2 linked regions of the Diceros bicornis minor genome follow. The protein of the gene in region 1 interacts with the protein of each later gene in a pairwise test. Links are inferred from orthologs where the notes say so. Each region holds a gene or a part of one and is shown in the gene's direction. Other genes may lie near its edges.

Region 1 (15,795 bases):
GATGAACTGAGTCAAATGCCATGTAAGGCAAGAACCATTTCAGTGGAGCGGTAGGGATAAAAGTAGACTGGAATGGGTTCAAGAGATCAGGAGAAGAGAGGAAATGGCAACTGGGAGGGCAGACAACCCTTGGAGTACTTTTATTCAAAAGGGTAGCAGAGAATTGGAGCAGAAGCTAGAGGGACATTGTATTTAAAGAGAATCAAAATAGGAAGACGTAAGGAAGGCTTTTACTGAAGAATTGATAGGATGCATCTTATTCTGCTTTTTCTAATGCTCTGTAGACTTTCAGAAATCCTTCTATATTCTTCAAAATAATATCGGAAATGAAAATTTCCATCACGTCCCATGTTCATGTCCCATTTCCAGGCAAGACTATACGTGATTCATTATTTCAGTCATTCAATAAACATGTACCAGCTACATATTAATAGGCACTGTGCTGAGTGCTAGGGATGGATAAAGAAGGTAAGTTCTGCAAATGTTCACTGCCTGTTAGAAGAGACAGTGCAGTGTGAAAAGCCTAATAATATAGGTATGAACCAAAGATACTGGGGCCCAGAGGAAATAGGCACTGGCCCTGCCTGGGGAAACCGAGGAATTCACAGAGCTAACATTTCAGCTCAAGTAGAAATTTCATTAGTAGACTGGAGGAAAGGGGAGTGCAATGCCAACAGGATCCCATAAATATGTGGAATACTTGCCAAACCTGTGTCAGGTAAAATGCATTGGAAGTAGTAAATGTAGACTTGTTGGGGGCAGATCATAAGGAAACATGTGTGCCATGCAAGGTAGGTATCAATTTTACTCTGCGTAAGAGGTGTCACATTATTTTTCTAAAATTAAATTAAATATGACGCTGAGCCCCCGTTCTACTCATCTGATGGGAAATTCAACTCCAATCATTATTGTGACCTCCTCGACCCCTGCCCCACCTCCAGGTTGCATGATGGACATGGAGTCTTGCACCCAAAGCAGAACATTCCAGAAGGCTGCTCTGGTTCTCACTGTTGTCCAAGCCCACGTAATCCCGTGAAGCAGCACTGTGCCTCCTTTGTCCTTCAGGAGGATGGGAACATTGGTTAAGCCTGGACACCTAGGGTCTAAGGCCCAGCCTCTCTGGGTACCTGGAGCATCCATTCCTCCGACAGTTTTGCCCACTTCCCTGAAGATTCCTACTACATGAGGAAAAGCAAACCATGTCTTCCCTATAGTTAGGAAATTTGTTCCTTTCCTTTTCCCTCTGGCTTTCTGAAACCTCCTTCAAAAAAAAAAAAAATCGCCAATACTCTGTCCCTACTGTTACCTGGCATGAACACTTAAATGTTACTGGCCTGGAATTTTGCCCTCCAGGGTACATTTGGCAATGTCTGGAGACATGTTGTCACAGCTGAAGGGCTGCTACTAGCATCTGGCAGGTAGAGGCACAGGACAACCTCCCACAACAAAGGATTATCTGGCCCAAAATGTCAATAGTGCTAAGGTTGAGAAACTGTGTTATAGACTACATTTTAAATTGAAAATGCACAACTTGAGAAATAAAAATATTTAACTGATTTTTAATAATTCAATATTCCTTGGATTTAGACTAGAAATTTAATGCATTTCTTTTTTCTGAACCAAAATAAAGTGCTGAGTTGTTTTTGTGGGTTTTTATTATTATTATTTTGCACTGTTGTATGTAGTACAGAATTTAGCCTTGATTCCTCCAACTGAAAGCAATATTTAGTTTTATTCACTTTTTCATAACCAAAGACTATTATGCAGAAATATTAATACTTCTGAACATGGATAAATTCTTTGCACAATGGATTTTATATTCAAGGCAATAATTCTCAACTTATAAGATCCAAAACCCCTGGTTTTGGTTTTAGTTCAGGCTGCTGTGACACACTACCAAAGACTGAGTGGCTTAAACAACAGAAATTTATTTCTCACAGATCTGGAGGCTGGGAAGTCAAGATCAGGGTGCCAGGGTGGGTTCTGCTGAGGACCCTCTTCCTGGTCTGCAGACGTCCGTCTTCTTGCTGTGTGCTCACATGGCGGAGATCAGAGAGAGAGGAAGCAAGCTCTCTCATGTCTCTTCTTCTAAAGGCACTGATCCCATCATGAGGACACCGCTCTCATGACCTAATTGTCTCCCAAAGACCCCATCTCCAAATGCCATCACATTTGGGATTAGAGTTTCAACATATGAATTTTACGGGTACACAAACATTCAGTCCATAGCATCCCCTTTTAAATAAAATATTTTGTACTGATAGAGGAAAGAATAAGTAAATATGTATTTAAGTATGTGAATGCCAGGGCACCACTGTATCAAAAATGTAGTAGTTAGATGCCAGTATCTACTTCTAATAAATATGTTTAGATTTTAATATGTTTAAATTTACACTTAAGATAACTAACTGAATATTGTCAATACTTCTAATTTACATGTATTATTTTGAAGTAAGGGCTAAATACGTATACATATTTACTTATGTATATATGATTACATAGATTATATATAAAACGATGATATACATATATGTGTGTATATATATTTGTATGTATGGGTATGTGTGGTAATGTGTTTATATATGAATCACCATAAATGTGACTGCTATAAATGCAGTGATACAGGTGTGCTGCATTGAAAACCCAAATAACAAAAGCAGTGTTGCTGCAATGACATGATTTTTTGAAATGGGGAACAACTCTTATAGTTCTCGTGTAGTTCCAACAAACTCTTATAGTTCCAAGCAAAGCAAAGTACAGTCTTCCCTCTATTTACTCAATAGTTACATTCCTGGAAAATTCAATGCGTATAAAAATTGTGAAAAAATTGCTGTGCATTTATATATAAAACCTTTGTAGGTTCTAGGCTCAGATAATGATAAACAAGCTTTATCTCATGTGAATATCTGGCAGGATATTCAAAAGTCATGCAAGACGAGGGACAAGTGTTCATTGTCTAAGACTTTCTCATACACTGTGGGATAGTTAGCATCCCTGGCCTCTTCCTACTAAAAGCTAGAAGCTAAGAGCAACCACCTCACTTCTCAATTATTTTGACAACAATAAATTTAAAACAATAAACTATCGTGACAAGCAAAAAAATACCCACACAAATTTTCAAATGCCCCCCTGGGTTGGCTGGGAGGTGGAATAGAGGGTATCAACACTGTTGTGGAACACTGATTTAAAGAAGGGTTCAGCAAACATTTTCTGTAAAGTTATATACATATGTCCAGATAGTAAATATTTTAGGTTTTATGGGACGAGGTGCAAAATTGAGGCTATTATGTAAGTGCTTAAATAGCAAAGCTTCTTTTGTAATTTTCATTCACATTAATGATATTAATTGAAAAGGGCAAATTAAGCAGTATTATCATAAAGTTTATGATAAAGTTTAAATCAGAGTACCTTTTTTGGATTGTAGTCTTCAAGTCCACAATTTGGTGCTGCAATTTGAAGTTAGACCATAATTTTCATATCTGGAAACCAGTTTCTGTGCAGCGAATGAACTGGATTATTCCTAGCCAGATGAATTTTCCAAAGACACAATTTTTCTATATATGAACAAATTAGTTTGTATGCTTTTTTAAAGGCCAGGGGAGGGATTCAGAGTATTTAAATGGCTTATATCATCAACTGAAAGAACCAAAATTGTTAGTCTTCACTGATGAACTCAGGTGGAGATTTTTTTCCTTGCTAACATTAATAGGTAAATTTCTTTCAGCAGTTCAAAATTTTCTCAGCATCCAGTACAGCTATTTGGAGCATGAACCATGTGTGTGTGGGGGGGGGGGGGGGTGCAGGGTTAATTACCATGGCTGTTATTTGTATAGTTTTTAAGTTTAGAGCTCAAAGTGGTTTCTGGTCAATAGTACAATAAATTGGCTAAAATTCTGTGTCTTGACAAAATCTTGTCAGATTGTGCTTATGTTTCATAAGTCTGGTGTTAACACTAACCTCTGCAGGAGTCCCATCTGTAGTCATGGTTACTTATTCTACCAAGTCTACTTTAAAATTCTCAAAATTCTTCTCCATACACAAAAATAAGCCACTTCCTCAAGATGTGCCTTTTTGGGCACCATTTCCAAAAGATATTTAGTCATGTCAAAATTCTCAACAACACAAATAGCTTTTATATATCTACTTGCCTATCAGCTGCAATAGAAAATGCCAGAAATAACTTAGTTTTTTCATGTATTTTATTCTGCAAGTTCTAAGCTATATTTCCAACATACTGAGCATAGTTATTACGTTTGCAAACGCTAGCTTCTGTTTAGGACCTGTTCTTTCTTTTGCCTACAATAGACATTCTTTGTAAACTTGCCTTTGGTAAAAAGTTTTAGGTGCCTGAGCAATTTTTTTTTTTCCCTTAATATGAAACAATTTCAAGGCAGGATCATTGTGATGGTTAGTTTTATCTATCAGCTTGATTGGGCCATGGGGGCCCAGATATTTGGTCAAACGTTATTCTGGGTGTGTGTATGAAGTTTTTTCTGAGTGAGATTAGCATTTGAATCAGTAGACTGAGTAAAGCAGATTAACCTCCCTAACACGAGTGGGCTTCATCCAATCAGTTGAAGGCCTGAATAGAATAAAAGGGCTGACCCTTCTTCAAATAGGGGAGGATTCCTCCTTCCTTACTGCCTTCAAGCTGGGACAAGGCCTTTTTCCTGTCATTGCATTCAAACTGAAATATCTTCCTGTTCTTAAGCCTCCCTCCCTTCAGACTGGAACTACACCATCAGCTCTCCTGGGTCTCCAGCTTGCCAACTGCAGATCTTGGGACTTGTCAGCCTCCATAATCACATGAGCCAATTCCTTTCTAAAAATCTCTTTCTGTCTCTCTCTCTCTCCATATATATATACACATATTATTTATATATAGATATATACTCTATACTGTGTATATATATATATACTCTATACTCTATATATGTGCTTTATACTGTCTCTATATATACTATATATACTGTATACTAATATATATACTCTATATGCTGTATCTGTATATATACACTCTATGCTCTATACTCCATCTCTCTCTCTATATATACTCTATAGTCTCTCTATGTATACTCTCTATGTATATACCCTATATCTACATATATATACATATACTCTATTCCCTCTCTCTCTATATATATATAATATACATATATTCTCTCTCCCTCTCTCTCTCTCTACATATATATAAATATATATATTAAATCTGCAACTTTGACTGAGTACCATCCACTTTGTGCCAGTTCTGGATACACTCCAGACTTCTGCATCTTGTTACTCCTCAATTCCATGCATCAAAATTTAATTCAAGCATTACCTCTTCCAGGAAACCATCTTTTATCCTCTCCAAATCTCCCAAATTTCCCCCTCAATCTGGGAGAGAAGACTTTGCCAGATTCTCCTGACACCCCTGTGCAAATCATCCAACACTGCTTTCTTGCCTTGCCCCACCTCAGCCTTAAGCTGCCAGAGGACAGGGGCCTGGTGGAGTGTTTCTCGGTTCCCCTGGGAAGGGTAAACCAAATGAAAAGAGGATAAGGACAAAGACTAACCGAGCACAGACTGACTTTTAGGGGCCAGCCCAACAAACAGAGGTCTTTCGGGAGACTGAGAAGGGTTTGAAGGTTCTTTGGATCCCATAACCCACTCTCTCTTTCTAAGCATCCCAAGGAAGAGGAAATGACTCAGGAGCCCTCCCCTCTGAGCGCAGGACTCCTCCTTGATCTAACAGGAATAACAATCTCTCTCTCATTGACTGGTTGTGAGGATTAAGTCAGATAATGGATACAAAGTACTTAGAATCGTACAGTAATATTAATTTCCAGTCAGAAATTTCCAGAGTCTTCTTCAAACTCCAGGTCCTTGCTGCCTCAGCTACTCTTCCAGGCCTACTTCTGACCCTTCTTCCCTCTTCCTGTCCCCTATCACATCCTGTCTCTTCCCACTCCTCCCTCCCCTCTTCCACCTCCTTCCTCTCCTTCCTCTCCCTCCCTACTTCCTCTTTCCTCTTCCCACCAGCTCTCTATTCTCTTCTTCCTTTCCCTCATCTTCTCTCCCTCCTCCTTTCACATCCTCCAACCCTCCTCTCTGCTTGCTTTACCCAGGAGACAGTACACAAAGTGAGAACTAAACCAAACCGCCTGGATCCACGTGTAGTTCTACCAACATTACCTAAGCCTTAGATTTCTCAGATGTCAAACGCAGATGTTGCTAAAAGATAGTACTTAATTTTTCTTTGAAAATTAAATAAGATATGTAGGTAAGTACTTAGCAAATTGGCTGGCCCTCATTAAAGTGCTCAGTGACTGTTACCTATTCATTTTCCTTGTCACCCTTTCTCTTCCTCTTCACCTAGGCCCAGGGTGAAGATGAGCAAAGAACTCTAAAGGCTACAGTTCACAGCAACAGCATCATGACTTTCAGAGAAGGCTTCTTTAGTCTAATGCTGACATCGAATAATTACGTATCTCATTCACCTTCACCACACATCAGTCATATTTCTGACCAATCTAGATTTTGTGGTCATAGATGAAGATGCCTCTATGATCCTGCAAAATTAACTAGATTTTCTGATGATAAGCAATGGGATTGCTTTGTATGACCTTGTTCTATTTGCAGAACTCAAAATTTCTTCTATTCTTACACAGGAAATAACAAGTATTGGAAAAAGCAAAATATTTCTTCTTTATAAAAGTTAACCAAGAGGAGAATTGCATGCTACTACATGGAACAGATCCCTCTTAAAATTCCCTTCTAAGACCAAGAAAGAAATCATGTAAAGGGGTACTAATTAATGTGTGGCCCACAGACCAGAGACTATCTGTCTACTGTTTGTGATAAGTAAGCACAGAAATTGAAAATGTTTAGAAATTTTCACAGCACTTTGGCCTTGTCCAGATATCCAAGCCCCCAGTCAGTGGACTCTTCCTATTCAGCTCAATATAGAGCAGTCCAGAAGTTGTCAAATGAGTCTTCTGAGGCCAGAGGTGCCTACTGGTAGTGCACAAGGGACCACATACTGGTCTGTGAAGAATTGGGGGCGGAGGGAAACTGGACCTTCATCAAAGATAGTTGAGAAGCACCGACGTAAACTATAGTTCCACAATTTTATGTTGTCGGATAATTGATTTATCAATCTTTAAGAGTTCATTTATGCGAAGTCCAAAAATGTGGAAACATCAAACGCGTGGGATATACACCACCTTGTACATTTCTCAGATGGAAAACTGTAAAACATTTCAATTTTGCACTTCCTTTATCAAACCTGTCTTGGGCTAAACCAGTGATGGAGTTAACAGCTCATCCTAGAGAGAGCCCTGCCATCTTGTGGTTGAAGATGTTGACTGTGACAGAGAGCAGCGTGCTGCGACACCGTCAGTTCTGACTGGGCAAAAAGACCCTTTTCTCGGGCAGTCCTCTTTGGAGGTCTTCAGGTCGGTTTCCTCCTCTTCCCGATAAATCCATTTTAAACATCAGACTAGACTATAGGGGAACTAAGGAAAAACAGGTTCCCTATGACTTTTTAAAAGCGTTTCCATCCCCTAACAAAAGTGTCTGGTTCATGGTAGGCGCTCAATAAATCCTGTACACGTGCATTTCGAAAGACTCACTTTCTACATTATTTTATAGGAGGAATGCTGGGAGATTTAAACCCCTTCGGGGGAAACCAAACATTCTCATTCAGAAGAAGACAAAGAAGGATTAAAACGATGCCACTGATTTCAACACACTAATTTTGGTAGTACTTGAAGGCGAGGCAAACTCCTGCCAACCTCAAACTAAATAGTCCACTGGAGGGAGGCACCGACCACGCAGGTAAACTACAATTCCCAGAGTGCCTGAGGGGGCGGGCCCTGCGGCTGCGCAGACGGGCGCGGGCGTCATGTGACTTCAGCATGGCGGTGTTTGCCGACTTGGATCTGCGTGCCGGTTCGGACCTGAAGGCGCTGCGCGGGCTCGTGGAGAACGCCGCTCATCGTGAGTCGCCCATCCTCGCTGCCCACTAGACAGTCGGGCCGGGCTCGGGAAGGACCCGGCAAGGCCGGGACTCTTTCAGGTCTCCTGGGGTCTCTGGGATGTCCCTGGAAGCTGATGCCCGCCGCGGTGTTGCTTTTCCTGGGCGCGGGAAACTCGAAGGCACTGAGGAGCTGTTACCCACTCCAGCTCCTTCTTTCCTATAAATTGAGGAAACTGAGGCCCTGAGAGGGTGGAGGATTTGCATAGGGCCCCACAGCTGATGGGCGGCAGAAGCCAGGGATTCTGAGTGTACAGTCTCCTACACCAGTGCTTTTAATATCACCCCTTCCTGCCTCTCATGACAGTGTCAGCACAGACGAGGAGTGCTGTGGGGGCTCAGAGAAGAGGAGGAGGGATATGGGGGTGCGAGTGTTGGAATAATATTATTTAGAGGGTGGGTAGGTGAGGGCGGGGGACATAGCAGGCGGGTGGGAGGGGAGCAGCATGGCCAAAATGCTAGGATATTACTCATGTTTGAATCCAAGGGAAGCGAAAGCCGTGAGGGGTAAGACCCCGTTTTAATTATTGGAGTTAATCGTGACTGCTTTCTTCTTTCTCATATTGTGAAGTGTGGGGATAGAGAGGTTTAAAAATAAAGAGGTTTCTGCAGGGCCAGTCAAGTAGTGGGGGCCCAATAAATACTTGAGGGAGGAAGGAAGTTGGACAAACTGATGAGAGGGAGGATCACTATTTTGGCATTAATATTCATTATCTTTTAATATTAATATCGTGTCGTCCCCATTGGTGTTTAATAACTTAAAGATAGGAGTCAAGATTTAGACATGTTTTTGGTAGTACAAATGTCCAGAACAGTGCTGTGTTGCTGATAAAACAAGACTCTGGCCTCAAAGAGTTCCCAATCTATTGATGGTGGGCAGCTCAAAAGGGGCAGTGGGCAGTGGTGTGAGGAGTCATTACTCCATTTTTCCTTAGGAAAGGGGCCTCTGAAGGAAGTAGAAAGGGTAAAAAGCAAAAGAAATGAGCGAGAATAAAGGTGACAGTGAAAAGGTATAAACGTGATGGGATGAAAATGAAAAGAGAGATGTGAAAGAGAATGATGGTTGAAAGGAGAAGCGCAAAGTTAAGGGTTTTTAGTATCATGCTAATAGTACATCACAGAGGTCACATAAAGCCCTGACTACGTGCCAGGCACTGTTGTAAAACATCGTACCTGTGTTATTTCATTTAATTCTTGTGACAGACATATGGGGTAAGTTCTGTTATTATCACCATTTGACAGATGAAGAACCTGCAACTTAAGGTTAAGTAACATGTAAGGGGTGATGCTAGATTTGAAAGCAGGCAGTCTGACACCAGAGCCCAGACCCATAACCATTCTGCTGACTACGTTCTAGTCTTGACATGAATTGGGATGACCCTATGTGTACAGGAAAGATAGGTGGTTATATTTAACAAGAATGTTCAATTTTTCTTTTCAGTGGGCTATTCAGTTGTTGCCATCAATCATGTTGTTGAATTTAAGGAAAAGAAACAGGTAAAATACAATTTCTGAAGTTAATAACCAGAATTTATAATTATTTGTGTTTATATTGGTAATAAGGAAGTTACAGATGAGCATATTTCTTAAATGTACTCTGTGCACTGTCTTATTTTGTATGTTAACATTTGAGCTGATGCATATTTGTGCTAGTGATAAAGTTTTTTGTGAAGTACTAAGGTGTGGGGTAAGGATTTTTAAAGTTGATTTGATGTTACTTAAGTAACTTTCAATAACTTATAAAAAGTGCATTGTTATTGACTGAACTGTAATCACAATATTTAGTCCTTTTTATTTTACTGTTATGGACTCATTACTCGTTGATTTCCCCCTGAAACATACTGATAAATATGTATATTTCTCTTTTGGCCAACAACTGTACCTTATAGATTATTTCAGTCTAAACACTAGTTTTCATCTCTCCTGTCCATTGATATGCTCAGCTACTTCTCTGCTCTTCAGCTTTCTTCCTTTAAAAAATAAACAGAAAAAACAAAAAAACTTTAGTGTTTCTGAATACCAGAAGTTAGCTTTCTCATTTTTTTTTTTAATTATCTTTCCTGAAAACCTCTTGTAAGTTTTCCATTTCCATAGGCTCCGTCCCATTAACATGTACAATCTGGGGTGACTTTTGATTCTTTGTTGTAGGAAATTGAAAAACCAATAGCTGTTTCTGAACTCTTTACAACTTTGCCAATTGTACAGGTAGGTGTTTTGTTGTTTAAGAAGCATAATATCTATTCATTCATTCAAACATGCCCATTTATATGTACAGTTCTCTAACCTGCACTGCCCCTTCCTCTGTCGACCAGTCTTACCTTTCCATCAAGACTCAGCTCTTCTCTGAAACATTCTCTTACTATCGATTCAGTACTTTGATGATCCTCTTTTCCTGAAGTCCTACAACCTTTAAATTATTTCATTATGTAGTTTAATGTATGTACATCTTTTTTTTTCCTCTCGTTGTATCATAAACTCGTTGAGAATGAAGACTAGGTTTTACTAATCTTCACAATCCCTTATTGCTGGGACGTTTTAATGAGTACTTTCCACTGATAAAGAGGAAAATCAATAGTTTGTATTTTGTGCTTTTTCGATAGCATGTTTTTGATTATAGGGAAAATCAAGACCAATTAAAATTTTAACTCGACTGACGATTATCGTTTCGGATCCATCTCACTGCAATGTTTTGGTAAGTTAATTATTTTTCTTCTCTCTTTTTGGCCTTATAAGTTGTATTGACTAATGTTGAACGGTGTTGTTTTTCAACTCACCCTCTTCTTACATTGCCCCACTGCCTCCCATGTGTGACACCTGCCTGCTCTCCCTATCCTCAGAATTCATATAGTATAACAAAGTCTCTTCTCCTCGTGGCACATGTGTAGGGATACCACAGTTAAAGATTCCTTTGGCCACTGTTATTGAACTCACATGAACCAGATATAAGGTGGGTGCTGGAGATATTGCTGTGAAGAATACAGACACAAATCTTGAACTTATAAAGTTTATAGTCTAATTGGCAAGACAAACACTATACAAATAGTAATTAAAAACACGAGGAAGATTTAAAAAGTGGGAGATAGTAAATAAAGGATGCTCTGGGAGCATGTAACAGGGCAGCCAACGTGAGGAGGTTGATGTTCAAACTGGGGCCAGAAGAATCAGTAAGTGTTATATACGTGGAGAGAGTGTTCCCACAGACAGGATGGATTATGCAAGGGTCTTGAGGCCAAAGAAACATAGTGTGTTCTGGGAAATGAAACACCACCAGTAGAGCTGAGCCTAGTGAGCTGGCTAACCTGGGATGAGGTTAGAGAGGTAGGTCTGGGTGAGCAGTGGAAAGCCCCTGAAAGTTTTAACCAAGGGAATAAAATTATCAGGTTTGCATTATAGAGAATGGGTCAGAAGGGGTTAAGGAGGGGCTTTGAGGCATCTAGGGGGAGGATTGACAGGATTTGAGGGTGGGTTGGATGTAGAATGATGACTCCCTGGCGTAGCCTGAGCAACCTGGAAGGTAGATAAGGGAACCATTTCCCGAGGGGAAAGCAAAGAGAAGCAGGTTTGAGGGCATCGTTTTTGGGACACAATAGATTATTATGAGAGTTCCAGGGGAGTTTGTTAAATGGGCATTTGGGGGATAAAAGGTGTAGCGCTCAGAAAAGTGATCCCAGTTAAAGATACTGATTTGGAAGGGGTCGCCCTGTAGAAAGTAATTGAAATCATGGGAACAGATGAGACTCCCTGATTAAAGTGTGATGTGGGAAGAGAAGGTCTGGGACAGAGTCCTGAGGAACTTCAGCATTTAATGGTGGAGTACAGGAGGAAGAGCTAGGGACTGAGGAGGGACTCTGAGAAGGAGAAGGACAGCGTGGAAAGTGAGAAAGGAAAAGTGAGGAAGGGTCAGCAGCATCAATGTGCCTGAGTAGAGAAGCAGGAGAAGGGCTAAAAAATGTCTTGGATTTATTGATGGGGAAGTCATTGGTTGCCTCAGCAAAAACCATTTCCATGGAAATGGTAGGGATGTGAGAAAATGGATACAGTGTGATGGTGACTTTGCTTGAGAAATTTGACTCCATAGGGGAATGGAAGGCATAGAGAGGTTGGTGGATGAGACCTGCTGTCTAGATTTTGTTCTCGAGATGGGAGAGACTTGAGTGTGCCTGCTGGTGGGAAGCATCTAGTTGGGGAGAGAGAATACAATGTTTAGTACACAAAGTGTAACAGTGTAGGAAGGAAGGGGGATGATTAGTGGAATGGATGTTGGTATCTGAATTCTCATGGGCTTCAAAGGTCTTTTCTGCCAACATACAAAACAAAGCAGAAATGTCCTCGGCATATGAGAAGTGTTACATGATTGAAATTTAAGTACAGCCGGGCCACTAGTCAGAATTCCATGTGTATACTTGTTGTTACTCCATGATAACATTCTTTTTGTGTTCCCAGAGAGCAACTTCTTCAAGGGTCCGGCTGTATGATATCGTTGCAGTTTTTCCAAAGACAGAGAAACTTTTTCACGTAAGTAACAGATAGTAAAAGAAAATAGTATTTATTATTTTATGTAAGAAGTCTGATGTTATGCCTTTGTAGGTGACTTGTTTTGCCCCATCTGGAAACTTTCAGGATTTTTCATTTATACTTGGAGCTCTGGAATTCCACAAGGGTATTTAGGTGGCATGTGTTTGTTTTGTTTTGTTTTATTCATACTGCTAGATATTTGATGAGCTCAGATTGAAAAAGTCCATCAAGTTTTTCTTCTATTTCTTTATGTCTGCTTCATTCGTTCATTCATTTGAAACTTCTCTTAGGTAAATGTTGTTCCATCTCTTTGTAGCTCTAAAATCACTTCAGTTTCTGCCCTTCTTACTGTTTGCTGCTGCCTATGAGGGAAGAAAGGTACAAGGTTCTGCTGTGACATAAAAGGTCCCATCTCTCTTTCAGCTTTCTCCTTTGCATGCTCTGAGGTCTGGTCCACATGCCAGCATGATGATGTCAACCTTCAGTCTTCCAGAAATTCCTCAAAATCAACCTTCTGCTGATACTGTTTCCCATTGTGTTCTGAGAGCCTTTTCAAATTTAATTCCTTTTATACTTTTAAAATTGCCATTTCTGTGACTTTTCAGGAGAGAAAGTTGTTTAACATGTATGCTCATTTTGTCAACTTGAGAAGACCACCTGGGCATTTTAAATGATTACAGAAAAAAAAAATCAACTGTAATAGTTTTTCAGGAGTATGTTTTACTGTGTAAAATGAAGTATAGCTACTTTAGGAAGTTCTGAATGTTGGCTTTATCTAGGTTCAAAAAATAGCCATCTGCCAAAAGAATATCTGCAAAAGGGATATTGTAGGAAAAAAAAATGTACTGGTCTTTGATGTTTTAATTTTACACCATAGTTCTTTTTTAAGCAAAACCTGTTCTAAAATTATAGAAAGATTTTCTCTAAGTTTATCCAGTAGATGGAGCTGTTGACTAAGGAGGCTGATGTGTCGTAAATTTAGTTTTCAAGGCATGCTATCAATTCTTAATTGTTTATATTAATGCAAGGAAACAGCACAAATTATCCATGAATGCCCTTTTTTTTGGTGACTCCCTTTATAAAATGTTCAATTATAGTAATTCCCAAAAATTTCATTTCAGGAAAAGAGGTGAGTAGGATAGAGTGGTTCTTACTCATCAGAGACCCCTGTGGAACTGTTTAAAATCAGGCAGGTTCATATCTCCACTACTGGAGATTCTGATCCAGTAGCTTTGGGGTTGAGTCTGGGTATCTGTTTTCTCAAGTTCCACAGAGGATTTTGATTCATTGTGGAAACCTTGAGGTGGACCATGGACATTTTCAAATTTGTTAAACAGCAACCTAGTTTTGTTGTTAAATAATAACTCAAATAATAACTCAGTTATAATGTAGACTAAAAGTTGGCAATGTGCCCAATTTTTTGTTGTACATTTATTTTTTGAATTGATTTTGAAGAGCACGCAACTTACATTTCCATAGCCATTTACTGGTAATTAGAGAAACAAAACATTTAACAAGTCACACAGCTGAGAGGCATACATTTATATATTCTTCCAAAGGCTTTTACGTATTTATTACTTCTAACACAACAATCCTGGGGGTAGTCAGGACAAATATTTATTACTATCCCCGTTTTGTAGAAGAGAAAATTGAGACTTAGGTTAAATGATTTGCTGCAAGTCTCGGATTGTATGTAGTAGAGTTAGGACTTTTGGGTTTTAGAATACATTATAATTTCATCTAGTGATTTTGTCTTATTTACTTTTAGTACTTGTTTTTCTCAGATTATTTGAAAGTTTGAATTCAAAAGCATGAACACATGCTTGATGATGGGGTGGAAATATTTTGGAAGATGGAAGAAAGCTATAAATAATTCACAAAGTATTTGTTTGCAATTGACTGTACAGGTATACTCAAAAAGTTACATAAAAACAGTTTTTAAAATTGGAACATCATCTTATCTGTCCCAATCTTACCCATTCTTTAAGACTCAGCTGAAGTTATCACTCTCTTTCTGTTGTCTATAGAAAATCAATTTAAAAAGACGTCTTTCTTTTAATCATAAAGCTTTTGTAAGTATATCATGTTTGGAATTGGATCAAATGCAAGCAGTTCGTTGCTTAACAGGTTTCATTCTATAAATGATTTTATTTGTTTAGTTTGTAAGTGGATTATCTAGAATTTAAACAAGTGTCCCTGTAGATATGATACTCTAAAGCTAAGTTAGGTCTCTAAGATGAGTCATAAAAGCATACACACACATATGTTAACAATTAGTAGTATAAAATCTAACCACCTTAAATAGCATTGTTTCCATGGAAAATAACATAACTATTTTCCACTCAGAGTATCTGGAAGATGTCTCATAAATAAACCCTTCTTCTCCATAGTTACTCCAGGGGATAAGGCAAAGATGAAAGATTGTAAGGGGAATCCATTGGTCAGGCGTTCTTGGTTTGGGGGGCGGCAGTGGAATGTGGCAGAGAGTTACTTAGAAGCTTCAGGAGCTTCTGAGTTAGTTATTCCCATTTAGGGTTTAAAGCGACTAGAAAGGGTGAGGAGAATTCAGGTTATTTAGTCCAGTGGTCTCCAAACTACTTTGATTGTGTATCCTATCAATTTAAAAAAATATTCAGCCTGCATCCCCGGTATGTGTATGTTTATTTTCTTATAAATTATTTGCATGTTCCGTTATACCACTATGCTTTATGAAATAATATACACACACAAAACAAACGAATTTTAAGAGTGAATTAAAAAATAAATGGAAATGGAAGTTCTGTTTTCTTCCAGCTTCTAAAATCCATGCCTTACCCTCTGAAGAGCAGTATTGTGGAGTATGCAGTGAACACCTGAGGCTCTTAAGGAGAGGGAAGATCTTTCAAGACAGTGCTTCTCACGGTGTAGTCTGGCTCCACTGGCTTCAGAATTGCTGGGGATTTTTGTTAAAATGCAGGTTATTAGGCCCTACTTACTAAACTTATTACTGGGAGTCAGGCCTGGTAATCTCCATTTTAAAGAAATTCTTCAAGGGAATTTGTTTTTTTCACACTTTAGGTTGAGAGGCCCTGTTTATGGGCAATCTCTCTTTTCCCTGGGTGAGCCTGACTCTCCCTTGCATACTATTTTATCATAAAATGCCAAGATGTATTAACCTGACATCCATTAAGGGAATTTGGGGGAGAATGAACCCCTACCCATCTGTTCTCCTTGTTCCATAAGATCAAAGATAATTGTGTGTGTATGTGCAGTTTTGGGAATAC
Region 2 (16,844 bases), on another chromosome or scaffold:
CTGCCAGCCCTCGTAGCTGCTGGAGCAGCGGAGAACACAGGTGGGGGGTTTGATGGGCCCCACGTGTCAGGTATGTCATGCGTGAACCCAGCACAGTCGCAGTATGATGAACACCTGGCAGGATGGGTTTTCTGGGAATAATTTATTATTTTTTAAAGTAGGACTAATGAAGCAATAATGTTCCAGACATCTATCTAAACAGTCACTCGGGGTCCACACACAAGCACCTCGGGGGCCTCTTTTCTATCTTGCTGTGCTACTGAAAACCCTTGGATGTAATGTTTGTTAATGAATTCTGTGAATTCTGTGAACAATAATGTGATTGAAAATAAGTCTAAACAGGTGTAAAAGTGATCACAATGACATGAAATAAATTTAAGAAGTCTACATCAGCAACATGCAGATGGTTTCTATTTCTAAGCTCCTAATTAAATGCAATGTTGGCAGATTCTCTGTTAACTTTAAAAAGCGCTTTTTAAATTAGGACTTATTCTACAGGCACTGGAAGACCTTGCTTGGGTGGGTTATTTGTTTCATTTTAAGAAATCATGTTTGCAATTTTTATTCAGTTGAAATGGTATATCAGAAACAAAAGGCAAGAGTCATCAGACTGTTCCTTTTGACTCTCTTCTGTTGCATTTAGGAACTCTAAACTTCCCAGGACCTTCACTCTTTCAAATCTTTTTACAGAGAGTCTGCAGCCAAGTAGTTCTGGAAATAAAGTGAGGTGAATTTTATAGTTTACATTGGAATCTGGGAGTTGGTCTGAATATTTTAATTTATCAGAGAAGAGTGGAGCATAGATCTTAAAAACAAGAAGATACGAAAATGTGATGTATCACATGTGGGATGCAGCTAAAGCAGTGCTCAGAGGGCATTTTATAGGCCTCAGTGCATACATTAGAAAAAAAGAAAGGCTGACAATCAATAATTTAAGCTTCCACATTAAGAAGTTAGAAAGAGGGGCCGGCTCCGTGGCTTAGCGGTTAAGTACGTGCATTCCACTACGGGCGGCCCGGGTTCGGATCCCGGGCGCGCACCGACACACCGCTTCTCCGGCCATGCTGAGGCTGCGTCCCACATACAGCAACTAGAAGGATGTACAACTATGACCTACAACTATCTACTGGGGCTTTGGGGGGAAAAAGGAGGAGGATTGGCAATAGATGTTAGCTCAGAGCCGGTCTTCCTCAACAAAAAGAGGAGGATTAGCATGGACGTTGGCTCAGGGCTGATCTTCCTCACACACACACAAAAAAAACTGCTTAAAAAAAAAAAAAGAAGTTGGAAAGAAATAATAAATCAAACCTAGAAAAAATAGAAGGAAATAATACAGATGAGAGCAAAAATCAATGAAATAGAAAAGAAAGTAGATATTAGACATGCTGCTTGTTCTAATCTCCCATATTCACCAAGAATTCCGAGCTTAGTGAGGTTCTGGGAGAGGGCGTCAGTCTTGGTGGGTTTGGGTGATGAGAGATGGTTTCCAGAGTCACTGAAGAAGTCCCAGGCCTGGGATAAGTACCTCAGATCAGAAACCCTACTAGGTGCAGGAAATGTTATGCCCTGGGTTGACCAGCAGCTCAGGATCACATCCAGAGGAGCCGCTGCAGGGCACCCACAGTGGGGTCACCCAGGCAGGGGCGTGTGCTGGAAGGACAGTGGCAGGGTCTGCAGAGGAATCAGCTCCCACTCCTCTGCTGTCACCCAAAAACATCGACTGGGAGTCACGGACAGATCATACGAAAGAGTCATTTTTTTTTTTTTTTATTCCCCCAGAGCCCCAGCAGATAGTTGTATGTCATAGCTGCACATCCTTCTAGTTGTGTATGTGGCACACAGCCTCAGCATGGCCGGAGAAGCAGTGCGTCGGTGCGCGCCTGGGATCTGAACCCGGACCGCCAGTAGCGGAGTGTGCGCAGTTAACTGCTAAGCCACGGGGCCGGCCCTGAGTCATTTTTGACAGACCTATCAAGTGGGTTTTCATGGTTCTCCCTTGGGCCTGCAGTTCTCGTCTCACCGTGCTAGGAAGACTCGAAAGCAGTAAAGCACGGCTCCCTTTGGCACCCCGCTTCCTGCCTTTGTGATTATGAAGAGCTTGCTAGTTCCTGCCAGCTGCCTGCCCCCCAAGCCACACCCAGCTAGGCCCTGTGGTGTGTGCCTTTAATGACAGTCTTGGAAAGAAGAAAGGGGTCATTCATCACAGCCCTGCCTGAAAGACTGCCAGAAGCTTCTGAAATAACAATGGAAAGCCCCAGGAATCACAAGTGGGCTCTTGATCTCACTGCCTGGAGTCGGGCCTTCAGGGCTGCTCACGGTGGACCCTCCTGGCAGGTTGAAGAGGCTGAGGGACAGGCAGTGGTTAGGACTCAATTTGCCGTCAGTCTGGGCTTCTTGTCCAGGGCAGAGGCGACATCAGGAGTGACTGATGCAAGAAACATAGCTTGACGGTGCTGTCCGTGTGTGTAAGTCTGTCTCCCATTTGAGCCCCATGGGGATGAGTATTCCCCATCCCAGGGAACCTTACTTGTTGTTTTATCCAAAGGAAGTTCCTAGAAAGTGCTGAGATTATAATGTCAGGCCAGGCTGGAGGACTGAATCCTGTGACGATGTGCCAGGCATATTCTAAATGTTTTTCATGTATCACCGTATCAAGCTCTCACACAGCCCCAAGAAGTACCTATGACCTGTGCCAATTTTACAGCCAAGGAAACTGAGACATGGAGAGGTGAAGTATCTTGCCCAAGGTCAGACAGATAACAAGTAGAGAGAAGCCTCTTGGTTTATGATTGAAGGTGACTTGCAAAGAGAATGCTCTCACGGTTCAGGCAGGAGTTCTCTGGCCCGACTTCCAGTGGAGCCTGGGGCCCTGATGGCCACCTGGACCAGGCCAGTGTGTGACAGCTTCAGCCACAGATCACTGAGACCACACCTCGGGCCTCTGCTTGGAAAGTGACCCAGTCATTCACTCAGCAAATAGTTAAGGACATCCCATTGCCCAGCCTCCTGCTAGGCAGGAAACAAGCTCACCTGGGTTCCACCATCATCCTGCTAAGGCTGCCTCAAGGAACAGCCTGCCCTCATCCTTCCAGTGTCTTTAATACCCAGGACTGATGTCAAGCCTTCCCTGGAGGGCTCATTCACCTTGCTGATAGCCTCCTCCCTCCCCCATACTCTGGAAATGATCATCAGTGTTTTTGTCCAAAGCAGTTTTCTGGAGAGGAGAAGTCTCCTCTGTCTTTCTTGTTGCCCCTCAGCGTCAGGCGTGGGAAGCATCAAGAGATGTGGCCCTGCTCCTAGCTGCCACTCCAAAAGCAGGCGAGGCTCTGCTTGGGATCAGCTCAGGCACCCTTTGAAGGGAAGGTCAACGCTTTGGACTTCTTACCAGCCAGGGGCTTTTCCACTGTCTTCAGACAAATTGTAGGTTTTAATTAAATATAAATGCTGAATTTAGGTCCTCTTATCTACTTTCCAAGCCCTGGATATCGATCTCAGGACAATCATGGGTTGGTTAATTAGCATTGTTCTAAAATGATGTATGCAGCTTTTAACATCCACAGGTACCAGCCTTCTGCTTTGGGGGACTGCCTGTACTAGACCAAGAAGTCTTTTATTAAAAGTGGCAGTTCAGGGCCGGCCCCGTGGCGTAGCGGTTAAGTGCGTGCGCTCTGCTACTGGCGGCCTGGGTTCGGATCCCGGGTGCGCACCGACGCACCACCTCTCCAGCCATGCTGAGGCCGCATCTCACATACAGCAACTAGAAGGATGTGCAGCTATGACATACAACTATCTACTGGGGCTTTGGGGGTAAAAAAAAGGAGGAGGATTGGCAACAGATGTTAGCTCAGAGCCGGTCTTCCTCAGCAAAAAGAGGAGGATTAGCATGGATATTAGCTCAGGGCTGATCTTCCTCACACACACACAAAAAAGTGGCAGTTTATTACGTCTGTTTCAGAAATGTTTGCTGGAATAGTCTTTGCCCAGGTTTGGGAGCAATTTTTTTTTAACACTCTTAGTCTCTCTCTCCCCTCCTCCCCTCCCTCGCCCCATCTCCATTTCATCACTTTATCTGTCTCACATCCAATCTGTCTGTCTCTTGCCACCCACACATACAGGCACACACAGACACACTCTCCCCTAACAGTGGGCAGCCTGGCTCTTCTGATCCTTCATCTTTTAACTCTTCCAACATCACTCCTTTAACATACAGACTGGGCTTTCTCATCAGCCTCTTCTCCCTCCCCCTCCCATCCACCCCAAAATTGGATGACGCACATACAACCCCTCCATTCCCTGAAAGGAAGCAAAAAAATAGAAGGTTTTGTGGAGGGAGTGGGAGTGGTCACAGATGGGGCAGTGGAGATGTCCTCCAATTACCCACCAAGGTCAGAGCCAGAGGGATACAGTGCTGGGCTGCTGTCCAGGTACCCCTGCTGCCCTGGGGCTCTGGGGCCCAGTGTTGCTGCTTGCTGGGCTGGAAATCACCAGGATGTGGGCCTGGGCTGCCTGTGCCTGTGACAGAATGAGGGGGTTGTGTGACCATCATTAGCCTAGTCGGGGAAAGGGAGAGGACACCTGATGGCTCCTTTCAGCAAGAGGACAGCCTCTCCCCCTCGGCTCCGGGAAGAACCTTTCCTTCATTGGTTTCTGGATCTTTGGTATCTAAACCCTCAAGGCAATGACCAGGAACCTTAGGGCACACCTAGGAAGATGCTAAGCTCCAGCAGGGGATGGGAGGAGTTGGAAGGATTCTTAGGGGCAGAAAGTGGCACTACAATCCCAATTACCCAAGGTCAAAGCTGGCTAGGGGTGGGTAAGCGTCACTGAAGTGCAACTGTTGACGTGAGTATAGGTCTACACTCCCATGTCAAAGTGCACAGAGTTAGATGTGATTCCGAATTCAGAAATTTTCCAATTTTAGAAAGGTATCGTGGTGTGTAAACCATACATTATGTAACACCTCTAATGGGGTCTGGGGCTGCCTTACATGATCAAATGCATTCATATTTCTGCTGTGCAATGTATGAATATCCACAGTAAATGGGACAAAAGCTATAAAAAGCTTCACCTCAGTTCAGATTAAGTATTGGTGCCAGATGAGGAAAGATTTCGTTTGCAGATTTTTCTTGGATTTCAGGCTTGCAGATAAAGGATGGCCAGCCGGCATTTCTAGTTCCATCTCTCCTGCCTTGGGGGTGGGGGGTGGGAGTGGGAAGCAGCATCTTGAGGAGGAGCCTATTCTTCCAAGGTAGGAGAGGCAGGCAGACGGTGCGGTCCACAGCTCCCTCTTGTGACCATAAGGGGCAAGTCCTGATTTTTATTTAACAATTATTAGTATTATAAAAATGATGCCCTGTCACTTTAAACTAAATCAAACAAAACGTATACTAAAAAAATGTAAGCATCTCCTACACGTTCTGCACAATCCCACCCTTCCCCCATCAGTGCACTTGGAACCCTTCTATGTATGTGTATGGGGGCTTATACATACATACATACATACATACATACATACATACGTATAAACAGAGAGGACACTGCAGTCAGTTTGTGGGTTTTCTTTTTTACATAAACAGAGCCATGCTGGACATTACTGTTGCCCACCCCCCCACCTCCACTTGCTCTTTTCACTTACCTCTATATCTTGGAGCTTTTGTAGGTCAGAACCCACAGATTCCTGTAATGGGGATGCAGAGTCCTCCAGAGAAAGTGTGTGTGCTGTGGGGGGTGACATCTTTGTAAGGACCCCTCTGAATCCCTGGAAGAGGATGTCTGAATTTTAAGAAAGGATCTTAGGGTCCTCCAGAAACTGGCTGCTTAATTACAGAGTGGCTATCCCCTCCCCAAATTCTCCCTTTCTTGGGTTCTGGAGCCCTTTTCTTGGGGAGAGGTTTCTCAGGAAAGTCTCCTCCATCATTTAAATATATCTCAGAAATGCTAGATGAGACAAAGTTAAACAGCTTGGCTTCGGCTCCAGCCCCAACACAAGCAGGAGAATTTCTCTAAAAGAGCAAAAACACCCTCAGAGGACAGCCAGGGAGGGGGCTGGGGGCTGGGGCAGGGCGTCCTGCTGCTCACCTGCTGATGGGGATGGTTTGGACTTGGCAGTCTGGGCAGGAGCTTCTGTTTTTTACCAGTGACTGGTGAGCTGCCCTGGCAGTCCCTGCTGTAGAGGATGCTGCTGCCATCCCTCCCAGGTCCCCTCTACTGACTGTTGCACCCAACCCTCACCTGCTGTGAGCTGGCTGCTGAGGGCTCACAGCTGCCCCTTCCCCCAGAGAACTGCCCTCAGATGACAGCACCTGCCTGGGAGGTTATGCTCTATTCTCTTCCTCTCACCTCCTAGGGTTGCCAGATAAAACACAGGACGCCCAGCTAAATTTAATTTCAGATAAACAGTGAATACTTTTTTAGTATAAGGATATCCTATTCATGGTTTATCTGAAATTCAAATTTAACTGGGCAACCTGTATTTTTATTTGCTCAATCTGGCAACCCTGCAGCTGGCAGTCAAGGACGGACTGAGGGGGAGTAGTAAGACTTGGCCCCTTACCTCCAAGGCTGGAAACTTTCTGATATCATTTATGCTCCAGGACTTCCTATGGGATCAGGCTGAGGCTAGACTTCAGCTGAACCCACATCTTTGCTTAGCTTCTTCCCCTGCCCCATCCTGCTTCCCTCCTCCCTTACATGTTTCACATGAGAGCCATCCCCCAATAAATCACTTCCATGAGGCTCCCTGTGTCAGGCTTGGCTCTAGGGACTAGACAGCAGGCCTGCTTTTCAAAGCTTCCTGTTTGGAGATAATGCTCAGGGTTGCCTCAAAGGAGCAGCTCCCAGCCCTGTCATCACATAGCAGGGATGGAATACTGCATTTTAGGTTCTGGGGCCTCTCACCACCTTAGACAGATGACTTAACTTCTCTGAATATGTTTTCTTCATCTGTGAAAGGCAATAATAATAGTGACATTGCAGAGTAGATGGGATAATGCAAGCAAGCTATCCGGCACTTGGCAGGTCTCCCTGAATGGAAACAGCTGCAGTTTCGTAGCTTTTCACTTCTGATCATTTTCACCTTCTTTGTCCTATCTTCACAATCTGCTGACACAAGCGGATACAATTCCCATGTGATTGATGGAGAGTTGTGGCTGTGGATGCTAAGGGACTATGATCTTACTTGGGCCTCTCTCTTGCCTTTTCTTCTCAAAGTTGTGAAAGCTCCTCAACTTTAGCAAAATCCATTTGGTACCAGTTTGCAAGGTAGGCCAGGGAGGGGAGCTGAACACAGCAGAGGCGGAGGAAGTGTGGACTCAACTCTTTCTTGGCTGCCATAGCTTGCAGGAACATTAAATACTCGAAGTTCTGCCCCAACAACTCTGCTCTGAAATGTCAGAGACAGACACAGAGAGTGTCCTGAATGGCCCTGAATGAGCCAACTGACTCCACCCACTGCAACGCTGGGCAATTTATACAGAGACTGAGGCAGCCTTGTGTGCTGATTTGGAGTGATGTTAAGACACACTGTTAAAAGGGGAAGGCCCCCCTACCGTATCTCTGGGAAACTAAGTTTAAATATGACTTAAACTCATGCCAGTGGTTGCCCCTGGGGAGAGAGAGGCTGTCTGGGTAAGGGGTGGGAGGGAAGCTTACTTTTCATTGCTTATCCCTTTAGACCATTTGAAGTGTATGCCACATGCCTGCAGTATCTACTCAAAAAGTAAATAAAATTTAATTGGAAAACAAAAGTCAACCAACTATTGTCTTTACCATCCAAAGGTATCTCTCTTGCCCTAAACTCTGAATTAACAAGACAGCAGAGAGAATTCAAGCAGCTTGGAAGCCCCTTCCATTTCAGGATCCGGTGCAGGACAGCGAAAACTAACTCAAGCTCTTTCAAGTCCAAAATACACGAGCTGCTCTGGTCTTTCGGGGCTGCAGCCCAGCAGGATGGGTTTGCCAGGTGGCTGGTTTAGGGGACTCTCCCCTATTACAGAGCATTATCTGGGTCCCAGATATTTCACACCAACTATTTTTTCCTCACAACTCTGAGACAGATGCGACTGATCACTCCGTGTGACGGACGGATGAGGAAGCGGAATAAGTGGCAAAGAATGGATTTGAAGCGAGTTGTGGCAGCTTCTGAAACCCAAACTCTTTCGAGAAATGTCACTGTCCGTGGGTCTATGTTGACTTCCTCTACCTCTCCCCCCATCTGGAACAAGCCCTGTCTCCTCTGAGGGGAGAAGGAAGGGAAGCAGAAGCCTCAGGACTACAGAACATGGCTACAGCCAAGGATTGAAGCTTCAGTAAATAGCAGATAGTGGGATTTTGAGATAAGAAATGAGAGAGAAGGTCCCAGCTGACTCAGGCTCAGGCTTGGCTGTGCAGGGTAACCCTTTGCCCCCAGCCCAGGCAGAATCAGCACACCCATTTATGAACTACTGCATTCAGTAAAAGTGTGTCGAGTGCCAGGCACTGGAATACAGCGGTGAGCCAACAGACAAGGCCCAGTCCTCACCCGGCTTACACTCCAAGACAAGGGGGTTTACAGTCGAGTTTTGGCAGCCCCAGCCCTTCTCCCATACCCACCCCCCGCCCCGACTCATAGCACACAATTGGTGGTAGTGTGGCGCAGTGTGGAGAGCACCATCTAGTCAGACGGCCTGCTCCACCACTTAACAACTGTGATCTTAGGTGAGTAACTTAGCCTCTTGCGCCTCAGTTTCCACCTCTGTAAAACAGATGATCATAATAATAGCTACCTTAGGATCGTGCCCGAGTTCCAAGAGATAACATATGTAAAGTTGTTTTCATAGCGCCTGGCACAAAGTACTTGATAAATATTAGCTGCTATTATTATTGTTATTAAATATAAACACTATGTTTCACGAGCGCAGGGACCGTATCTTGTTCTCCACTGAGTTCCCAGTACCTAGCATTTATAATAGGCGTTCACCAAGTACTTACTGAATAAATGCACAGATGAAACTGGGCTTACGTGTGGAGACAGGACCACTGTCCTTGGGGAGTGCTTGACCTACGAGACGCTCAGCAGAAGAGATGTTAGATACAAAGTTGTTAAATGAATAAATGCATGGGTAAATGCATGACTATGAAGCGAACCCGGGCCAAATACACATGCGCGGAGCCCTTGACCCCATGCATACATCCCTACACACGGCTGTCTCCGGAGTGGGCACCAGAGGGCACTGAGCCTGGCGCTCCCAGCTCCTGATCCGGAGTGACGCCTGGGTCCTTAGAACTCTGCGCGGTGACGTCACATCCGTGCCTAGACGTCACACATCCGGGGGTGGGCGGCGGGCAGACACGAGCCAAACGTAAACAACCCCGGAGTTTCTCCGGCCCAGGCACCGGCCTCTACGTGAGAGCTCCAAGCCCTGGCTGACTCTTGCAGCAAACAGGCGTCAGGGAGGCGTCAGGCCGGTCGGACGGAGAGCGGGTAGGCGGAAGCCCACAGCAGAGCGGCTGTTTCCCGGGGGTGGGCTCAGTTGGCCGCGCTGGAGACGCATGGCCACCCGCGCCAGGCGCGCATGCGCAAGGCGGGAGCGACGGCGGGCCGCGCTGAGCGGCCGGAGGTACCTCTCCGCTCCGGCCGAGGACGCCGCGGGCGGAAGGCGAGGCGCGGGCGGAAGGCGAGGCCCGGCCGGGAACTTCCCCGGGCTGCCGTACGACGCGGTCTCGGTAGCAGAGGGTGGCTGCGAGGACTGAGAGCGACCACGTGTACAGAGCGCATGCGCCGGCCGCCAGGTGGGCGCTAAATAAGGGGCGGACAGTAGTCGAAAAAAGTTGAACACTAAGTACCCAACAGTAGGCGATTGAGCTTTTAGAAAAAAGTTATTGACTTTGTCCAAAAGTTACATATTGAATGCTTCCTGTGTGCGATGCACTATTTTAGATTCTTGGGAAACAGCAGTGAACGAGACAGATCCCTATTTCTTGTGGATGGTACATTCTGTTGGGGAGGGGAGGGGGTACAAAGAAAGAAAAAGTGAATTACATAGTTATGGTAGAAAGTGGTAAGTGCTGTGAGAATAAAGTAGAGCAGGGGCATGGGGGGGGTGGAGGTGGGTGCCGTGTTAGACAGAATAGCCACTGGACCAAATCGAGGGGTGAGATTTGAGCAAAGCTGTGAAGGAGGCGAGGGAGTGAGCCGTGTGGCTACCTGGAGGAACAGGCTTCCCAGCCCGCGGAAACGCTAGGAGCGAGGCCCAGGGGCGGGAGGGAAACGTGAGGAGGAGCTGGGAGGCCCGTGTGGTGGAAGGGGTTGAGCAGGGAAGAATGGTAGGACCTGAGGTCAGAGCGTCGGAGGAAGCGGTGGTACAGCTCAGGGAGGGCCTTGCAGGCGGCTGTCAGGACTTGGGCTTTTCTCTGAGCGAAATGGGAACCATTGCAAGGTTTTGAGCAGAGGCATGGCGTGGCTTGAATAAGTTGTAATAGGCTGTAGAGACTAGATTGGGGAGGGAAGGTGAGGCAGGGACACCTCTTACTAACAGATCAGTTAATGAGCATCCCTGCATCCATTAAAAAGGCTGCCTTCAAAGATGATGATGACACCATAGAGGTGCTCACATTTCTGTGGTGAGCCTGGTGAATATGCCAGGCTGTACGGAGGGTTTCTCAGGCATCATCTCCTTTAATCTCAGGACACCCTGCAGAGGGCAGTGCTGTCGCTGACCTTGACCCTGATGCTCAGGCCTGTGGAGAGGTGACTGCTTGGTAAACACTTGCCCCTTAAGTCTTTTTTTTATATACATAACATAAAATTTACCATTTTAAAGTGTACATTTGGTTGGCATTAAGTACATTCACATTGCTGTGTGACCATCACTACTATCCATTTCCAGGACATTCCTTAAGTCTTCATTGTTATTGGCATCCTAAGCCCAGGAACAGTCTTATTCCCCTACCTTGGGTAGCCAACTCCATCGAGGCATTCAGTAACACTTTAAAAACACCTGTCATGGGCCGGCCCCGTGGCTTAGCGGTTGAGTAATGCGCTCTGCTCCTGGCGGCCCAGGTTCGGATCCCTGGCGCGCACTGGCGCACCGCTTCTCTGGCCATGCTGAGGCCGCGTCCCACATAGAGCAACTAGAAGGATGTGCAACTATGACATACAACTATCTACTGGGGCTTTGGGGGAAAAGAAAAAAGGAGGAGGATTGGCACTAGATGTTAGCTCAGAGCCAGTCTTCCTCAGCAAAAAGAGGAGGATTAGCATGGATGTTAGCTCAGGGCTGATCTTCCTCACCAAAAAATAAAAACAAAAACAAAACACCTGTCATGTGCCAGGCAATGAATGAAATGATTGAGGGTCCTTGTTCTCGCTGCCATTCTGGTCGGGAGACTAGTGATTGGGAAAGAAGCACCCAGTAACTATTGCTGCAGTCCTGAAACCGAAGATGCTCTTGAGCGTAGAGGGCTAACACTACCACCATTCAGTCGGTCATATATTCAGTGTTTGTTGAATACCTACTCTGTGCCAAACAGTAAATATTCACGTTTGTTGAATGGATGGTTGGATGTAGCTCCTTGACCCTGATTTTTCATTTTCTCTGGAGCTTGTTATCTGGGAGTGGTTGGAACTGGGCCTGACCCAGAGATGTTTTTGTAAATGCTGGTCTGTAGTTATATGACCTTGGAAAAATCCCTTTCTTTGGTTAGGCCTCAGTTTTCTGGTGCTTTAAACAATGGACAATGTTAAGAGATTGCCTAACAAGGGAACCTAACTTAGAACAAGGTGTCAAAGAAGGTCTCCCTGAAAAGGGAAAGTCCTGGAAGAGGTGAACTTTAAGCTAAAATCTGAAGGATAAGTAGGAGCCTCCAGAGGGAGAGTGAGGTGGGAGTGGAGCCAAGGACAGGGATTCTCTACCGGGGGATCAGTATGTATGTTCTGAGTTCTTGAAAGTTCCAGATCTGTTAGAAATGGCATTGAGTGCCCATTCCAGGCATTCCTCTTCTCCAACCCCTTGCTGTTTAAGCTCAGTCTTTCACAGGGCTGCCAAATAGCCCTGCGCAGGCCTCGCCTCCAGCCTGAGCACAGGCAGATCCAGCATGGGAGGGGACAGCAGAACTACCACCTTTCATTCTTGTGTTCGTGTTGTATGTTGACTGAAAGTAAACAAGAAGAGGGTCTTCAGATCCCACATTTTACTCCTTTATGCTTTTACTTTTATTTGATTAAGAGGCATCATACCAGAGTGGTTTTGATAGGGCTCAGGAGTGGTTGGAATCAGTATGCCCTTGGGCAGATGTTACCTATCTTTGCCAAGCCTCAATGTCTTCTTATCAGAAATGGACATAATAATAGCTTTTACCTCATAGGATGACTTTGAAGACGTATGACCTAAGGCATGTGACATGGTTCAGCACAGAACTGGGTACTCAGGACAAATGCTTGCTGGTATTATATTATTAGAATTTAAATAAGAGTACAGTGGTCTGGCATATATAAAATGTAGAAACTTCCTTTGTGTGTGTACAGGTAACCTTAGTTTGACCAGAATTAGATGAGTTACTGTACTAGGAGTTCTTTAAAAAATCAAATAGGTCAAATTCTCATTAAAAAAGTGAAAAATAGCTTGTACCTTGGTAGTTTCCAGCCCTCTTGATTCTTTTTTTAAAATTATTTTATTGAGATCATATTGGTTCATAACATTGTGTAATTTCAGGTGTACATTATTATGTATCAGTTTCTGTCTAGACTGCATCGCGCTCACCAGCAGTAGTCTAATTTTTATCCGTCACCACAGATAGGTGCCCCTTTACCCCTCTCGCCCTCCCTGCACCCTGTTCCCCTCTGGTAACCACTAATCTGTTCTCTTTATCCATGTGTTTGTTTACCTTCCACATATGAATGAAATCATACGGTGTTTGTCTTTCTCTGTCTGGCTTATTTCACTTAACATAATATCCTCAAGGTCCATCCATATTGTTGCAAATGGCAAGATTTTGTCTTCTTTCTCATGGCTGCGTAGTATTCCATTGTGTATATATACCACTTCTTTTTAGCTCTCTTGATTCTTAATGTAGGTGTGATCAGCACTGGGAAAGATGCCAGCTCCAGCTACCACATATGAAAGAATAGTTTACAAAAATCCCTCCGAGCACCACTACATGAAAGTCTGCCTGTAAGTTCAGTCTCCTACGTTCTATTTTTGATGAATCTGAATAGCATGAAATTTAATGCAACGTATTTTTTCTTTTTAATGTTTTTTACAGAGAATTTCAAGATTGTGGGGTTGGACTGAATGCTGCACAGTTCAAACAACTGCTTGTTTCAGCCCTGAAGGACCTGTTTGGGGAGGTATGGAATCACTTGATACATCAGACACTCCTAAGATCTTTGTAAGAAATACTGAAAGAACACTTTTCCAAACATCATTTTAAAACTTTAAAACCATGTTTGAAATTGCAGAAGCAGACTCAGAAATGATGACTTTTTGGTAGGTTTGTTCTAATATGCCTTCTATTTGACAAGGAACTTGTTAGACAAATGTTTGTTTTAGTGCAGTGCTGCTCAAAGTATGGTCCAGACTGGCAACCTGCAGACTGTTTTTTTACCCATTGCAAACATTGGTGGCTCTCACCAGAATGTAAATCAGCACACCGCTTTCTTTACGGAGAAGGTCTCCATATGAAAAAAACTGAGCTGAACTAAACAGTGTGCTTAGTGATATTTTTGATGTACATTATAAAGCAGTTCTTTGTCTTCCCATAGACCATCACTTTGAGTAGTCCTGTTTTAGCATTCACTTGAAAACAAGTAGAGTTTTGAGAGAGAACAAAGACATGATTCTCAGGAAGTTATTTCCTAATTCGTATATTCTATCAAATCAAAATCTGCTAAGCACCTCATCAAAATTAAAAACTTTAACTTTGACTTAGTTAAAACTTGGCAAAAGACTTGGTTAAGAGGATGAAAAGACAGATTATAGACTGGGGGAAAATATTTGCAAACCACATATCTGATAAAGGACTAATATCTAGAATATATAAAGAACTCTCAAAACTCAGTAGTAAAAAACCAAACAATCCAATTAGAAAAGGGGTAAAAGACATAAATAGACATTTCACTAAAATGGATGTACAATTGGCAAAGAAGCACATGAATGAAAAGATGTTCAACATTGTTAGCCATTAGGGAAATGCACATTAAAAACACAATGAGATATCACCACCTACCTAACAGAATGACTGAATGAAAAATAGTGGTAACACTAAATGCTGTCAAGGATGCGGAAAAACTGGATCACTCATAGATTGCTGGTGGGAATGTAAAATGGTACAACCACTTCGGAACATGGTTTGGCAGTTTCTTAAAAAAACTAAACATGCACCTACCATACAACCAGCAATTGCACACCTAGGCATTTATCCCAGAGAAATGAAAACTTATGTTCACGCAAAAACTTGTACACACATGTTCATAACAGCTATATTAAGAAGAACCCAAAAGCAGAAATAAGCCAGATGTCCTTCAGTGGGTGAATAGTTAAAGTACAGTACATTCTTACCGTGGAATAGGCTCAATAATAAAAAGGAACAAACTACTGATACTGTCAATGCAAATAATCAGTAGCCAATCTGTAAAAGAGATAAGGCTTTACTTGAGCCAAGCTGAGCATTATAACCCAGGAAGGCAGTCTCCACAAAGGAAGAAAGCATTCCAGAGAAACATGGTTTTCAGTAGTTTTATACCTTTTTAAAACAAAGAACATACATTAAACATGCCCAGGATATGTATTCATCAAAGTTTGAAAGAGGTATTCAGTTGCAAATTAGCAGGTCAACATGACCCTGATGTCAGGGAAAGGGAACTTCAGGAGTACTGATGTGGGTGTTACTGATACTGGCATTGTAGGAGGGAAAGTATGCATTCTTATCTTCAAAGAGTGCATTCTTTTACTTTGAGATCATGTTTAATGCATTCTTTAATGGTTAAAGCAGATGTACAGTGTGTGTTTGGTAGGCCATAAGTCAGGCTTCTGTAGTGCAAGCCAAATCAGTTTTAAACCAGAATAGCTACCCTATATACCTGAGTATGTGAAAATTTCTTGCCAATACACATAACAGCTTAACTGAATTTCCAGAGAGTTATGCTGAGTGAAAAGCCAGTCCCAAAAGGTAACATACTGGGTGATTCCGTTTATATAATGCTCTTGAAATAACATAATTATATAATCTGGAGAAAGATTAGTGGTTGCCTGGGGTTAGGGATGGGAATGAGGAGTGGGTTTGGCTATAAAGGAGTGGAAGGAGAGAGCCTTGTGGTGGTTGTATAGTTCTTTATCTTGACTGTGGTGGTGGTTACATGAAACTACCTACGTGGTAAAATTGCATAGAACTATGCATATACACACAAACAAACAAATATGAGTGCATGTGTAACTGGTAAAATCTGAATAAACTCTGGGTTATCAATTTCAGTTTCCTGGCTTTGATACTGTACTATAGGTATACAAGATGTTGACATTAGAGGAGGCTGAGTGAACAGTGTATGGAACCTTCCTGTACATTTCTTTACAATCTCCTCTGACTCTAATTTTTTGAAATAAAAAGTTTAAGAAAGAAAAATCTGTGCACCTTCTATGTGTCAGGTATAAAACCTGGTTCTTGGGGATATAGCTGTAAACAAACAGACATAGCCTCTGCCTCATGGACTGATGGTCTTGGTTATTTTAATAGGAAACCGTGTCGAACAATTAATGGCAAGAATGATGAGTATTATGAAAGAGGAAGTATGTGGGTCCTGTGCGTGAAAGAGCATAGTAAGCGATTGAGCTTAATGTCGGGGATCAGAGAAGGAACAATTTAAACGAAGCCTTGAGGATGAAGAGGCATTAGCAACATGAGGAAGTCCAGGAAGAACATTCCAGGCAGGGGAAGTTGTAAATAAGCAGGCTCAGTACTGCAGCACCATTAAATAAAATACTGCTTTTTTGGAGGAGAAAAGCAGTTGACAGGATTGGTTATTAGAGTTCAAGGGTAATGATGATAATAGTCTGCTAACAGCATTATTCCATGCTTAGGTTGATGCTGCCTTACCCTTGGACATCCTGACCTACGAAGAGAGGACCTCATCAGCCATCTTGAGAATATGTAGCAGGTACGACAGACAGTGGTACATTTCCAGTATAACAGAGCGGAGAGACGGATGGAGAAATAGAGCAGAAATGCTCTCTTCTGAGAGTGAGAAGAGTTTTGTCGTTGTGAGCTCTGAGCAGCTTTTGGAAGTTTAAACTGGGGAGAATATGAACATTCACCCATCAGGAGCTTACACTCTAGAGAGCAAAACTTGTGATTTGCTTACAACTGTAGTGTTTCCCAGTTGATGGTCATGGGTTGCAAACTCAGAAATGTATATTTTAGAAACATTCCTAGTTGAGCTTCATTTTTTTCTCTGCCTTTGACATACTATGCTTTTACTTTTAAAGTTTTCTCATTTAAATTAGGTTTTCTGGTAGAAACTACTTTCTGGAGCATCACAAACAAAAGTACAAGAGAAGTGTTGCAGGGACAAATCTTTATGCTTTCTTGATCTTTCCACAGTGGTCTTGTCAAATTATGGAGCTCTTTGACTCTGTTAGGATCCTATAAAGGCAAGAAATGTGCTTTCAGAGTGATTCAGGTAAAGACTATTCCTTCACATATTCCAAATGAGGCTGAGTAGTGGATCAAACTGCTTTTTAATATATGTCCCATTTTTGTGCTTGCATAATTTTAGTATGGTTCCCATCATCCACCCGGCGGTGGTGGTGGCAATCCAGGACTTCATTGCTTCCAAAAGTATGAGACAAAGTACTTAGATTTTAGATTATATGGGA

Evidence for each region.
Region 2: the proteins of RPP30 (region 1) and RPP14 interact in binary tests that used the Homo sapiens proteins (3 or more experiments, as listed by UniProt). The link is inferred for Diceros bicornis minor from reciprocal best matches to the Homo sapiens genes RPP30 and RPP14.

Annotation. Positions count from the first base shown.
Region 1 is NC_080745.1:56,933,758-56,949,552, forward strand, and holds the start of RPP30 (ribonuclease P protein subunit p30), read left to right. Parts: upstream 1-7,881; 5' UTR 7,882-7,898; coding exon 7,899-7,980; intron 7,981-9,458; coding exon 9,459-9,514; intron 9,515-10,165; coding exon 10,166-10,222; intron 10,223-10,634; coding exon 10,635-10,709; intron 10,710-12,460; coding exon 12,461-12,532; intron 12,533-15,795. UniProt on the Homo sapiens protein: Component of ribonuclease P, a ribonucleoprotein complex that generates mature tRNA molecules by cleaving their 5'-ends. Also a component of the MRP ribonuclease complex, which cleaves pre-rRNA sequences.
Region 2 is NC_080741.1:58,208,238-58,225,081, forward strand, and holds the start of RPP14 (ribonuclease P protein subunit p14), read left to right. Parts: upstream 1-9,645; 5' UTR 9,646-9,768; intron 9,769-10,664; 5' UTR 10,665-10,737; intron 10,738-13,050; 5' UTR 13,051-13,071; coding exon 13,072-13,148; intron 13,149-13,239; coding exon 13,240-13,324; intron 13,325-16,049; coding exon 16,050-16,126; intron 16,127-16,569; coding exon 16,570-16,648; intron 16,649-16,844. UniProt on the Homo sapiens protein: Component of ribonuclease P, a ribonucleoprotein complex that generates mature tRNA molecules by cleaving their 5'-ends.